Caenorhabditis elegans: one gene and its partner. The protein of the gene in region 1 interacts with the protein of each later gene in a pairwise test. Each region holds a gene or a part of one and is shown in the gene's direction. Other genes may lie near its edges.

Region 1 (3,298 bases):
AACTTTGTCCCCCTCTTTCCCTGCGCCTCCACCTCTCTATCTCGTTTTCTATAATTCTCTCCCAGTTTTCTTGCTGACTAACAAAAAGCGACGCGGCGTCAACAACAAATTTCTTGTCGTCTCCACCCCACGGCCAGTCTGCGTCTCTTCGTCTCCAATGCTCTATCTCTCGTCCAGTTTTTCATATCTTTCCCCCCTTCAGTCCACATTATTATTTGCCGCACTCCACATTTTTGCAGCACGTTTGTCACAACTAGTATCGACTTTCAAATCGTAGTTGACAACTGACAAAACTAATTTTCAAAAAAGTTTAATTTGCGTTTGGTAAACTAAAAAATATCTTTTAATTTGTGGTTCAATTCAGACGTGGGCGACAATTGCCGTTTGGCAAATTTTTTGAAATTACCGGTTTGCCTTTTATCCGGAAATTTTCATTTTTCGGCAAATTGCCGGTTTGTCGTTTGCCGGATATCAGATTTGCCGGAAGTTTTCAGAGTGATTTTTTATAAGACGAAAACATTTAAAACTATGCTTTTTTGAAATTTTTGTACCGTTTTCATTAAATATTTTCATAGAATTTGCTTAATTTTCAAAATAAATGTAGGAACATTCATAGAATGCGTACAATTTTGCCGCTTGAAATTGAAAATTTGAAATTTCGAAAAAAGAAATGTGCAAAATTACAATTGCCTTTTTTCCCGCAAATTCGACAACTCGGCTATTTGCTGATTTGCCTGAAATTTCAATTCCGGCAAGTTGCCGGTTTGCCGATTTGCCATAAATTTCAATCCCCACAAATTGCCATTTTGCCAGTTTGCCGGAAATTTCAATTCCGGCAATTTACCATTGGCCGGAAAAAAGCGTCATGGGTCTTGCCGCAAGCTAAACGTTCCTAGCTACAGTACCCCGTGGCGAGACCCAAAAAAATGTTCAATTTCATATCATTCCCTGACTTTATTATATCAACAACTTTCTCTCTCTCCCTCAGCAATTTCCTTTTTTCTCTGCTCCCCATCACTCTCCTTGAACATTTTTCCTTGCTGCCTAACAAAAACGCGTCAACAACAAATTTCTTGTCGTGCTCAACATTGTCTGCGTCTCTTCGACCTCTTTTTTATGTCCCAGTTATCATGCTGAAAGTTTTTGTCGTCGAAATGAAATATGTTACTCTAAAAAAAGTTTTTTTTTTCACTTTTTCTCTTCCCACTTTTATCGAAATTCATCGTCAAAAAATGTTTTAATATTGACTTTTCGCTTCACTAAGTTTAGCTTTACACCTTTCTCGAGAAAGGGGTAAAGCTGCAATTGCGCTCCATTGATAAACTTACTGGCAACGTGGGGTCCTGAACTATCAGTTCGCGTGGTGCCAAGGTGTCCCATGATCTACATGAATCGCGGGAAAGTAGACGCGTCAGCACGCCGATTTCTCATCTGATTTCGCAAGGTACTGACGTCACATTTTTCTTGGCAAAAAAGATTCCGCATTTTTTGTAGATCACACCGTAATGGGATAGCCTGACACCACGTAATAAATAGAGAAAAAAATTAATATTGCTAATCTCTGTCTCTTTCAGAATCTTTTAGTTTTTATTTAAAAAAAAACAAATTTCTTTTTTTTTAACTAAAAACTTTAAAAATTTTCAGAGTTCAACTTGATGCTCGCGATGAACGCCACCGACTACCGAAAGCTCACCGAGCACATTGAGGGGACCAAGTTCCCGATGGACAATCTCATCAAAAAAGTATTTCTGAACATTTTGGAGCCAAAAGAAGACCTATGGAATAGCAACCAAAAAATTGATCGGGAACGCTGGGAAACGGTCGGAATCGAGCTTTTTCAGCGGACAGGAATCCTGGTTTCAGTAGATCAAATGCGATCCGGATTCCGAAGTATCAAGTCGAATCTCGGCCAGCGTCTTCACAATTGTGTCCAGAGCGGAATGAGCAGAATCCAGACTGAGCTTGAGCTTCAGAAATGGGAGCTGTTCCAGGATCTTCGGTTTTACTATGACAAGCTTTACAAGTATCGGCAGTTGCGAGCAGAACGAACAGGGAATGAGGCGAGGAATTCGGAGCCCGTCAGCGGAGAGGATATGCAATCGTTCTTCGAAGAGCCCGATATGATGTCGTTGGTTGAGGAGAATGATAGGTAATTTAACTTGTAGTCTTGTATTTAATTTTTCTAGAAAATTCCAATTTTCAGCGCCATGAAGTACCTCTCATCTCTTATTCCACAAGTCTCATCGACCTCGACTCCCACCAAGGTTAAGCTGGAGAATCCATTTCTCAATGCTTTCGAAAACCCGATGAATCTGAGGCATGAGCTGAGTCAGATGCTCCAGGCAAGCTCGTCGAGTTCTTCAATACCTTCACCTATCTCTCCACCAGTGCCGAATCCAAAAGCAGAGGATGAGGAGAAGGTATCGTTTTTTAGACTTATTTGCAATATTCCTCAACATTTTGAAAACTTTCAGCCGTCTCTAAAACGCCCTCGAGAATCCAGCCCAGCGGCAGTAGAGACAGAACGAATAAGCCAGCAAATCAAACGAATTTTCGAGCAATATCCCGAGAAAACCAATCTGATCCGGTCTGTGCTCACCTACACCGTGCTTGCTTTTGATGAGCCCGACGCGGATTTTTCGACGGCTTCAGAGGTGTTCGGCGATCTAGCAGCAAGGTTTCCAGTTCGGAACTCAAAGCGATGAATCTTTTTAATAATAAAATTGTTTGTTGATCTACGTATGTTATCGAATAACTTTATTTCCAAATAAAAAAGCAACATTGTAGTATTAATATGGGCACGGTTCCCATCTATTAACCGCCGAGCCGTCTTTAATTCCTGCGCTTCTCAGTGTTTCGTCAACTCGGAGCTTACTATCTGAAAAAAATTATTGTGCAGTGATAGCTGAAAAAATATGAGTTTTTGGTTTTTAGCTGATTTATAAGACTTAACAATTAACTAGAATATAAACTGCAGATCACAGCGCCTCAAATCGGGAGAGTTGTGAAAATCGAGAATTGGAAAGTCCAACGGAGCGCGCTTGCACACTTTTACGGTATTAAATGAATTTCACGCGAAATTTCGCGATTATTCGAGTTTTCAAGATGAAATTTGGAAAAAATAATTAAATATTGGGATTAATATTGCTTTAAAAAAAATTAAAAAAAAAATTTTATTGAACAAATTCAATATTTGGTTGATTTATCATTGATTTTCGAACCGATTAGAACAAGTTAACTCTATGACAAAATTTCTACGCGAAACCAATTTTTCAAGCATCAATATGCGTGATTCCAA
Region 2 (4,986 bases), on another chromosome or scaffold:
TACTAGACTAATTGAGAGGGTCTCAATTAGAAAAATATTGCAAAAAGCCTCGAAAAACATAAAAAATTTAAGATAAGTCAGTTTTCACAGTTTTTTACCCTACCAAACTAAAAAATGCCTGAAAATGTATGTTTTCACAGTTTATAGGTTTAAGATTCTTTTAAATGGTCAATTTCCAATATTTTTGGACAATTTTCGAAATATTGCCCGAATGGCGCAGTGGGATTTTTCATATCTACCAATCTCAAGACCAGGGTTCGAGTCCCCACCGTGGCACCTTTTTTAATAATTTTTTTTTAATGTGACTAGACTAATTCGATAGTGCTGAATTCGAAAATCATAGACTCACAATCTGAATATGAAGAAAAACCGAAAACTGGTTTTCCAAAACTGCCAATTTTTGGCTCAAACCTCCGACAATTAAAATCCTTTCTCACAAAGTGCTCAATGTGCAATTTCAATTCGAAAAACATGTTTTTCTGCGTCTCTACCCCCATTTCCAAATAGGTCAGAGAAAACAAAAAGGCGCGGGAGGGGCTCTTTTTAGTCACCCAGCCGCCTTCCAATGTGGCGGGGAGAGGGCCCCCACGACGCCATTTAATGGATTTGTTTGCATTTCGTTGTGTGTGCATACTTGCAAGCATATACTATTCCTTGGTTTTCTCGATTTGTGCACTTTTGCAAGTTTTCGCCGGAATCAAGAGGGAATTTTTGGATCACAGGGATTACAAATAGTCTGAAATTTTCTAAATATTAATAGTTATGTTAATTTTTTGAAGTTTAAGTCATTTTTGAACACTTTAAAAATTTCGCTCGAATGGCTCAGTTGGATTTTCCAAAACTACCAATCACAACACCGGGGTTCGACTCCGGTAGATGACACCAATTTTTCACTCTTTTCTAAAATATAATTTCCTCTATGTACCATGTGTTCCAATTTATGATGCTCAGAAAGCCTATGTCATTTATACCGGAAGCTATAGAAGACATTTGATACTACAAAAGGTACTTGACCCACCCTCCAAACCAACGATATCCTAAGAAATTCCTGCTATACACATGCAAAATGTTGATCTCGCCATTAAAAACTGCTTAAAAAAGCCAATAAAAATATTTGCCACAGCGGGGGTTCGAACCCCGGCGTTGAGATTGGAAGCTATCCAAAATCCCACTGCGCCATTCGTACATTTTCTGAAATTTTGTAATATGACCCAAATTTTTGGTAAAAACTGGTTTTGAACCTTTTTTCAGACCGTTTTAAACCTCGCCGCCTCATTTTCCCAGTCAATCCCGGCGTTTTCTCCCTCTAATCGCCGTGCCCCATCTCGTCACCCTAGTTTTCGCGCAGTTCATTGCCCAGTTAATAAAGATGTTCCGCCCGTTGCATTTTGCCCTTTTTATCTCTGCGTATCTCAATGTATCGTTTTCCAAAACGTTTCAATTGTGTGTATTTGTTTGGGTGTTCGTATACGTTTTTCGTTGGAAGGAGTTTTTAAAAACGATTTCTAAACATTTTCATAGGATTGATATTGATTTTAAGCCACTGCAAAAAATTTTTAAAAATCCAAAAACTTTAAAAAAATTGTTTAAAAAAATTCAAAAAACAAAAGTAAAATTTTTTCCAAAAAAAAAATTCTTTAAAAATGTCAAAAAACTAATATATTGCACAAAAAACCCTTATTAGTTTAATAAAAAAACTGAAAAAATAATTTGCCACCGTGGGGACTTGAACCCCGGTCTTGAGATTACCAACTCCTCCAGAATCCCACTACACCATCCGTGCACTTTTTTGTCAAAAAATTTTTTCGCGTTTCGGAACCATTTTCTTGTAAAAATTTCGTCAGATATATCAGTTTTACCAATTTTTATTCCAGAAAAATGCCACTTGGAAAGTTGGACCTAGTCGAAGAGGAGTACATCGCCGAAAGCGGAGATCACACGCCAGAAGCCTCCCGGCTTATGGGAAATGGTGATTCTGTAGTTGGTAAGCCTTTGAACTGATAGGAATCTGGAAATTATAGAAGTTTCCAGAAAACTTGAATGGTCACACAAATGGGGCAGTTGCGAAGAAGAAAAATGAGCCAAGGGTGCCGGATATGCAGTTGGGCAGTGAGTTTTTCAAGGTTTTTTGTTGTAAATTTGATACTTGAAAAACCTTTTTGAATGAAAAAAAAATAATAAAAAAAAACAAATTTTTAAAAACCTAAATATTCCAGAATGTCGCTATGTAAGGTTACATGACAATGTAAACTATGTCGCTGCTGCAATTATTCTACGGAACCAGGGAGACGACACAGAGGTAATTTTTATTTGCGGCGATGGGTCTCGAAACGAAAAAGCTTTAGTAGCTCAGCCCAAAAAATGATTTTTTATAAAATTCAAATTTCCAGGTGCTCCTAATCCAAGAGGCCAAGAAAAGTTGTCGTGGGAAATGGTATATGCCTGCCGGACGGGTAGAAGCTGGTGAGACAATTGAAGAAGCAGTGGTACGAGAGGTTAAAGAGGAGACTGGGTACAGTTGTGATGTTGTGGAACTCCTGTCACTACAAGTTCAAGGATCCGGATGGTATCGATATGCTTTTTATTGTAATATTACAGGTGAGAACTCAGTGAGCTTATTTATTTTTCTATTAAAAATTTGAATTTTCGCCAAAAATGTTCCTTAAAAATTTGAATTTCCCGCCAAAAACTCTCAGGTTCAGGCATTTTATTTGTAGAAATTTGAACTAAATTCTGCAAATTTTGACCACAATTTTTGAATTTTTTACCTAATTTACAACTTTTGAGCAAAATTCGTACCTTTAGACCCAATTCTGTTAGTTTTGCTCTAAATGTTTCAAAATTAAACCCTCACCACTATGAGCGTGATATTTTGAAACGTTTTCAGTGAATATAGCTATGATTTCTCATCTCAACGCACTTGAATTAGCACATGGTGTCAGGCAGTCCCATCACGGTTCGATCTACAAAAAGTGCGGGATTTTTTTGCCCAAAAAAAATGAAGTCAGCACGTTCTTAAACAGACAAAATCACTTGAAAGGCTGCGTCTCTTCTCCCGCATTTTTTGTAGAAATACGTAGATGAAGCCAGACACCCTGATACCACGTGAATTAGCCAAACGAAGCTTTGAAGAAAGAATTTACCACTGTGGGGACTCGAACCACGGTCTCCCAATTGAAAGGGGTTTCATCGAAAATCCCACTGCGCCACGTGCACAATTTTTTTGAAATACGCTATAAAAAGGTTAAAAATTTTTTTAAAAGCATTTTCAAATTCCATTTTCTGAATTTGTATTTTTCCAGGCGGTGACCTGAAAACAGAACCCGATCAGGAATCCCTAGCCGCAGAGTGGTATAACATCAAGGATCTCAAAGCCAACAAGGTTCAGTTAAGGTATCTGAAATTTTTTTTTTCGATCCTAAATTTTGAAACCAATTTTTTTTTACAGAGGCCGAGATTTCATCCGACTAGTCGACGAGGCCGTCACATACCGAACACACGGCCCCGTCGATTCTATTCCACGTGTAATGCCGTTAAATCAAAACGTTGCTGGATTATTTTTGGAGTTTATGATTGTCAAGCACTCTAGGGATGGGTAAGGGTCTTAGCTGCGAGGGAAAATTCACTAAAAAAAGGTTTATTCAGGCTCCGAACCGAGGTGCTCGTGCACAAGTCGATCAAGGACGAGACGTACCTGCTGGAAGAGGAACAGCCATTCCCAACGGTGGAATTTGGGTTCGAGTACTTCTTTGCGATGGTTGTATCCAAGTGTTATAGGGTGAGCGTGATTTGTAAAAAAAATTAGGCTTAGGTCTAGGCTTAAACATAGGCTTAAACTTAGACTTAAACTTAGGCTAAGGCTTAGTCTTAGCCGGCTCGGTTCACGAATTTCAGTTTTCTTCTGATCCTACAAATTTTCAGCATTTGCTCGAAGAAGGTGCCAATGTAGTATTTACACCGTCTCACGTGACGCGGATAAAATGCCACCCAAAACCAATGGAATCCCTGGCGCACGGAGTCTCAATAAGGGTTTACTGCGAGCACAAGCAATCCGCTTCAAAAGCCATCATTCGGAGTCCGCGGTGAGACATTTTGAATTAAAAACCTTTTAATTACTTTTAATTAGTCTGATAAAACTTTGAAAAAAGAAAGTGCCACAGTGGGGACTCGAACCCAGGTAGTTTGATTATAAAAGGTTCTTGTCGAAAATTCCACTGCGTCATTTGGACATTTTCGACAATTTTCTTTTTCAAAAATCGATTTTAAACCGTTTTTTTTAAAGAGAAGTTCATATATTTGTTCTACCTGAAGTCTTATTGGAAATAATTGAAAAATAAAATAATCCCGAAATTTCAGGTATCACTGGATATCCGTCGAATCACCGGAGACACGACAGCGATTTCACATGGCTCAGAAGCAATTCCGGCCGTCACTTCATATGCTTTAATGCTTTTGGTTTTCTTGAATAAACATTTGAAAAATTATTTTTTTTTTAATTTTCTAAAGACCAACTCTCAATATTAGTTTATTACATACATTTGAAAAAATCATTTTTTTCAAAAATTGAGATCACTGACTCCTTAACAAAGAGCTATAAGTTGGTGGAGGTGGCTCTTGGAGCACGTCATATGCAGGCGGGGGCTGAAGATCCGGTAACTCCGAGGTTTTTCGCAGAATATCTGTATTTCCTTCGTCGAAATCGAATATCGGTGCTTGTGCAGCTAATCGCCGTTTTTTTGCCATACCGACAAGGCACATGTAGATCTGAAAAAAATCGGTTAAAAACATGATTTCTCAACTCAAAATTAACGAAAATTGCTCAAAATTGCTCGAAGTTTCAAAAATTACAAGAAATTTTGATTTTCAATCATTTTTTAAAAAGTGTTCGAATGGCGCAGTGGGATTTTCGCCGAAAGCCTTTTCCAATCAAATGACCGGGGTTCGAGTCCCCACCGTGGCAACGTTTTTTTTCAAGTTTATATGATA

The links. The genes of interacting proteins can lie anywhere in the genome.
Region 2: the proteins of lido-15 (region 1) and ndx-1 interact in a two-hybrid assay, tested with the Caenorhabditis elegans proteins (one large-scale study listed by BioGRID).

What each region holds. Positions count from the first base shown.
Region 1 is NC_003280.10:3,810,642-3,813,939, forward strand, and holds lido-15 (MADF domain-containing protein), read left to right. Parts: upstream 1-1,640; 5' UTR 1,641-1,664; coding exon 1,665-2,149; intron 2,150-2,203; coding exon 2,204-2,420; intron 2,421-2,474; coding exon 2,475-2,705; 3' UTR 2,706-2,787; downstream 2,788-3,298.
Region 2 is NC_003279.8:12,677,333-12,682,318, forward strand, and holds ndx-1 (Putative nudix hydrolase 1), read left to right. Parts: upstream 1-1,874; 5' UTR 1,875-1,878; coding exon 1,879-1,984; intron 1,985-2,031; coding exon 2,032-2,109; intron 2,110-2,216; coding exon 2,217-2,299; intron 2,300-2,390; coding exon 2,391-2,598; intron 2,599-3,302; coding exon 3,303-3,393; intron 3,394-3,448; coding exon 3,449-3,595; intron 3,596-3,645; coding exon 3,646-3,778; intron 3,779-3,921; coding exon 3,922-4,082; intron 4,083-4,356; coding exon 4,357-4,447; 3' UTR 4,448-4,480; downstream 4,481-4,986. Other genes in the region: T26E3.10 (resistance to Congo red protein), read right to left, coding at 4,570-4,764. UniProt on the Caenorhabditis elegans protein: Probably mediates the hydrolysis of some nucleoside diphosphate derivatives.